Linked DNA regions of Oryzias latipes. The protein of the gene in region 2 purifies or fractionates together with the protein of the main gene of each other region. This does not show direct contact. Links are inferred from orthologs where the notes say so. Each region holds a gene or a part of one and is shown on either strand. Other genes may lie near its edges. The genes, in order: pdcl3 and cct8.

Region 1 (2,899 bases), on a different chromosome or scaffold from region 2:
ATTTGTGAAATTTCCTCATATTTGACCTTAATTGATTAATAAAAAGAAATATGGAGAAATTATGAATAGCTTTCACCCTACAGACTTGACACTATTGCTCTTTGCCACCTTTTCAGGTAGAAAAGGGTAATTACGTCTAAGCTTTACACATCACTTAAAAAGCCATCACTGAATGTGTTCACTTGGTGCGCAGACTAATCTTTTTCCACTCTTTTTAATTAAACAGAAGATTCGAGGCCTGCCGGAGGGGATGTTGTAAGGAAAAGAAAAAAAAAAAAAAAATCGAAAGCGAGATTATTTTTGAAGAAAAGCAGCTGGATGATCAACTGAAGACAAGCCATATGCAGCATCTCCGGCTCCTCCTTCCAGATGGAAACAACTTTTCCTTAATAAATTGTGTGTAAAGATGGAAAAAAACAAAACAGAACTGCACTGCCATGACTGCCATGCGTGTTCATGCTTCCTAACGCCACAGTTGTAGCAATGAGGAAGACTCTGGTAGCGCTGCCTTGAAATGAGATTGGCGACAAAACACAAGTTGTAAATAATTTTTCAGCAAGTCCTTTATAATCAGCAGTGATACCAAATAAAGAGCATTTAGGAAAAATATAATTAAGGCAAAGAAAAGGTGAATTCAATGTTAATGTATATTTTTTTGTGACAAAACTGTCATGTTATTAAAAAAAAATGACAATTTATGTTTGGTGGCTCTCTCAGCACATGTTTACGACAAAGTGTACTGACAAACACGAGAGGAGAAATTTGGCAACACGGGGACTCTCTCAACAAGTGCCTTAGAGCAGGTTGATCGCCACCTACAGTTAGAAATATGAACTCCATGGTGAAGGCCACGCCCTTTCGCCTCTGCTCCAATGCTGCCAAACCCCATGCGGTTCCCTCTGGTTTGTTTCACGACTCTTTCCCGCTTATTCGTCGTCCTCCTCAGAGTCACCGTCCTTCCGTGTAGGAAGCGAGTTCCTGATTGATGACATCAACTTGTCTTCTATTTGTTTCCTCGGGTTCTCCTCCAATTCTGTCTTCACCGCCCCGGATTCAGAAAGCCTCCACTCCAGCTCTGGATGAATTACAAAAAAACATAATAAACATGTGATGGGACATGTCACGGGATAGACTCCGGTGACCCCGAAAGGGAACAAATGGATTACAAAGTGAATGAATAATAAACATGAACAAAGTCTAAACGCATTTTCTGCGTAAAAAGCAAGACAAACAAATGTTCTAGAATTATCCACATTTAAATTGAACATGTCCTAAAATAATGAGAATCATATTTAAGGACACTTTTTTGAAATAAACCAAGTTGCCAAACGTTAAAAGGACATTTGGCAAAATCCCAAACTAAGGTTACAAAACCCAAAAGTCTTTAAAACTTTATTTAGAAAAACTGACATGACAATTAGCATAATCACCAAAGCGGTGAGTATTATTCACAGATGTTTGACATCCCACTAAAGGCTCACACACAAACAATATTCTGAGAAATATTTGGAAATAACCATTGATGAGAGCTGTGGCAGTGTTTTAGCTACTGCTTACCTTCCACTTTGAGGTTCATGCCTCCAAACACCAGAGGACCGATGAACTGCGCCTTCATCTCCCCTTCAAAGTAGACGAATATAGTGGGCAGGTTGCGGTCGGGGTAGTTTGGGATGCAAGTGGTGGAGATGGACTTGAGGAACTTTGTCTGGGGAAATTTTCGGGCCAGCATGTTCAGGTGCTGATTGATGAGGGTGCAGAGGGGGATGCTGGGGGAGAAAAAAAAAGAAGAAAAGGTTGCTTTAATGTTGAACACAATTTTAAAAAAAAGGAAAAAAATGCTGTTTAGATGCAGAATTTTATTCATAATTGGATAAAAAGATCAACGTCTAATATCACTTTACTGTCAATATAATGATTCCCAAAAACAACAACGATGCAAAATTGAAAAGATGTTTGAGCATTTAGTTTCTAAAACAGTTTTAACACATAATGGGTGGTAAAAAAGAGGGTTATTATTATTTAAAGACTTATGTTAGCTGGAGCTTTGAAGATTTTTTTCCAAATGTTGCAGCCATCTGTGAGGTTTAGGTAGAGTTTGGATGCGAAGCAGGAACATCATTGAAGGCTCGCACTAAAATACTGTATTTTTACGACTACGGGGCGCCTTACTTAAAAGTCGTAAATTTTCTCCGAAATGTATGGAGCGCCCTTTGGTAAAGAGGACGGAGAAGAGGACAGCATGAGAACAGTAAGGAGGGCAGTGAGGACGTGAAAGAAGACCCCCCCCCCCCGAATAGTACAAAAATGCATGTGCAAAAGGCATGTGCATTAAGCAGAACAGCATCGTTTTGGTAACCCTGAAAATGCAAAGAGATACACTCATATCAGTTTAAACAGCAAGCTGTCACACTTTTACTAAGACTGGGAGGAAGCGCTGGGCGAGTTACACCACAATTTGTGAATGGATTGTAGATGCTTGGGCTAACGAGTGTTGAGGGATGAGTGTGGGTGTTTGTGGAGCGCATACAGCGCGGTCAGTCAACGTTTTGGAGTTGAGAAAAGAAATAAAGAATGTTCCTCTGAAAGAACTGAGACTGGCAACTGAGACGGACTCTGACGATGACAGACGGGAAGCTGGCGTGTTTGATAGAAATGTAGCCCAGCTGTTCATTTAGGATACAGAAGATGAGGACTTTGATGGATTTTTGGATGCTGATTGAGGACGGAAAAAATGTAAAAATAAATCACAACCAACTCAGTTTTGCTCCAGCTGCCTTTTTAAAAACACACACTAGCATGGATGTTTTACCAGTATGTTTGAACGTCCTCGCGGCGTGCGATTTGTAGGTGTTAAATACAGAAAAATCACCCAAAACTGAAACTGCACCCCAGTGCGCCC
Region 2 (3,001 bases):
AATTCATAGCGAACCTCCTGCGAAACTAAAGTCAAGATGGTCTGCAACAAAATTCGTACATATTTTTTTTTAAAAGTCTGCTGTAACCCCCTTTTCAATTTCACCTGAATCATTGCCATGGAAACAGAGAACCCCATATGCGCGTCACCTCTAAGCAACCAGGGTTTTCATCCAACTCACCTTCTTGCTTTTACTACCGTCGGCCCCCATTATTAGCGTGACCGAGCATCAGGCTGGAAGGTCGGTTTGCTCCTCACCAGTGACTCCGCGCGGGACATCGCCGCCCCCTCTTCCCCTTTCATTTACACATCACACGCAGATACGAATTTTGTGTGCAATATTCATTTAGTTCAGCAGCTGAGATTCGATGCAAAACGTGGGATGGCGATAAAAACAAAACAGGATAATCCCTTTTATGGGCAACGTCAGCGTAAATCCGCACACATTTACCAGGACTCCTGGACTTCAGCTCCCCCTGCTGGACAGCAGCTGCAATATAAAGCAATTAAAAAAAACTCCCCTCTGATAACACGAGTGCCTTTTATTTTGAACTTTGAACATAAAAAGCAGGGCGATGTTTACTTTCGTGGTTTTACTTTGTCAACCAATGCAGTTCCTACAAAATAAAAGAAAACTGAGCTTTAAATAAACAGGTAGAAAACGTGGGTGAGTAGAGCGTTGGCTTTAGTCGTCGTCGTCAAAGTTCTTCTTGCCCTCTGGAGGTTTGGGGCCGCCTGCTGGTTTAGCCATGATGATCTGAAAGAAAATGAAAATAAAAATAATTCCTACCAGAAGAAATAAAAGACAAATCCATGCAACTCAAAAAATAACATGGTCAGACAACAACACCCATTAAAGTTAGAAAAGAATTCTAATGAAAAGTACTAGAAATGCATGTGACAGGGGAAAATTTGGTTCAAATGACTGCAAATTCCACCCAATAAGTCTACAAAATATAGTAAGGAAATTAAGCCTAAAATTGGCTCACTCCGAACCAAGTTCTGTCTGCAACTCAAGACGTAAATTTCTGATGAACTATGGCTGCTCTGCCAAAAATGCCCAAGAAAATGGCAGATTTTTTTTATTTTGCCAAAAAAAAGAAAAGAAAAAGGGCATAATTATACTCTAAAAGACACTGGGGACGCTTTAAAAATAGATCAAAAGATGATCTGAGTGGGACCTAAAATGTTTTCTCTAGAAAACTTTGCACCACAAGAAATGAACAAGTTGGGCAATAAAATCTGTTTTTCTAGTCTTCTTTACAAGTTTCCAAGAACAAACAAACACAATACCTCTTGAGGATGTCCACTGAAAGAAAAAGGATTACATGCATCATGCAATCACGCAACATCCAGTTTGTTTCATGCTGCATCACAGTGACACACGCCGTGTTGTTAGAAGTACTAGAAAAAGTGAATCTCAAAATTGTTTGCATCTCTGCAGAGTTTGTCGTTAGTAGTGACAGATCTGTTGTTTTGCATTTAGTGTCCTTTGAGTTCATCTGCAGTCTTTAGTTAGAAGTGCACACACGTTCCGAGACCTACTGCGGGGGCTCTGTGTGCGCGAGAGCCCGCTAATGGGTGTCAAAATGATCAGGCTCTTCGTCCCAACCATCCTTGTCCCAATGGCCTCTCTGCTTGGGAGTTTTGGGTCCCCCTGCAGGCTTAGCCATGATGATCTGGGTTGCGCACACACAAACACACACTTAATATTTGCTGGTTTTTGTTGTTTCCACTGAATGCCATGTTTTTATTATGACCGGCTTACTGCATCTTGGATTCTAAAATGTTGATGGCCATTTTACAAAGCTTCAATTAACAGGCTGCAGTGATGCCCTGAATTTCACAATGTCCAGCATGAATTTCTGCTTTTATTCTCTGTTCTATGTTATGGCCACGTTCTCCTACACAAACATCTAGATCATCCACTACTTTACAATCATGAGTTTGTTCAAAAAAGCTACATCAAATAGCAGGAACCAATAGTGTCACATGTAGAATTCTGGATGTGACTTTATCCTTCATATCTAGTTAGTTCATCATTTCCTGTTATAGGTTTGTTTTCTCCATTGGATGAGAAGGAAATCTCACTCAAGTAAACTACTGGTCAAGTTTTAGAACATGCCATTTTCAGGTTTTTGATGAAAGGTAAAAAAAATGTTTTATGTAATGTCTTGTTGCACTCAAAAATAAAAAACTAGGGCAAACGAGGAACTTCTTTCTTTATCAGAAGTGTGATGTTCTCTTAGACTAGGGGTGTGTATCCCAAGTGTCTGGAGCTACGATACGTATACCGTTACATGTCCTATGATAAAATACATATCGCAATATAGTAGCAGAACACATTTTCTGTGTTTTTAACATTACGACTGAAAAAAACTCTACCTAGGGCTGCACGATATGAGGAAAACTCGCGATATGCGATATTGGTAATTAATATTGTGATAACGATATAAATTGCGGTAAATAAACAAATAGCAAAAAAAAAAAAAAACATAATTTCCATTTCACTGAAACAGTTTAGAAATTATACTCCAAATGACCCTTGTCGACGTAGGAGGCAAACATCAAACATAAAAGGGCTCATCTGATTGATCAACAACGTAAACGGGTCCTTCTAATTGGTTAAATGTATAAAGGGATTTATTTCATTTGTTTAATATTTCAAGCTGCCATGAGTTTGTTTTAGCACATTTAAGGTAAACATTTATTGCGATTTTTGACATCTTTTACGGTATGCATATTGCACAGCTTGATGTGGCGAAAATGATAAATTTGTGCAGGCCTAACTCTACCTGAATATTATTACAGCTTTTATTATAATAAAATGGTAAAAGTCGTTTTATTTAATGATCACAATGTTAAGATCTGCAACTGTATCGCATATACAAGTTGCTTTTACCAAAGCAAATTCACCCATAGTGCTTTGATTTTGGTAACTTGAAATATATTTGTTCTTAAAGGAAACAGTCAAATATCTTTCAGTATAAGAAAAAAACAAA

Evidence for each region.
Region 1: the proteins of cct8 (region 2) and pdcl3 purify together in Homo sapiens (affinity purification with mass spectrometry; 3 studies listed by BioGRID and IntAct, with this or other methods). This does not show direct contact. The link is inferred for Oryzias latipes from reciprocal best matches to the Homo sapiens genes CCT8 and PDCL3.

The regions. Positions count from the first base shown.
Region 1 is NC_019879.2:4,242,825-4,245,723, forward strand, and holds the end of pdcl3 (phosducin-like protein 3), read right to left. Parts: intron 1,767-2,899; coding exon 1,558-1,766; intron 1,076-1,557; coding exon 927-1,075; 3' UTR 546-926; downstream 1-545. UniProt on the Homo sapiens protein: Acts as a chaperone for the angiogenic VEGF receptor KDR/VEGFR2, increasing its abundance by inhibiting its ubiquitination and degradation.
Region 2 is NC_019872.2:12,638,491-12,641,491, forward strand, and holds the end of cct8 (T-complex protein 1 subunit theta), read right to left. Parts: intron 1,679-3,001; coding exon 1,574-1,678; 3' UTR 1,545-1,573; intron 757-1,544; coding exon of another isoform or gene 685-756; 3' UTR 524-684; downstream 1-523. Other genes in the region: uncharacterized serine/threonine-protein kinase SgK494, read right to left, coding at 181-210. UniProt on the Homo sapiens protein: Component of the chaperonin-containing T-complex (TRiC), a molecular chaperone complex that assists the folding of actin, tubulin and other proteins upon ATP hydrolysis.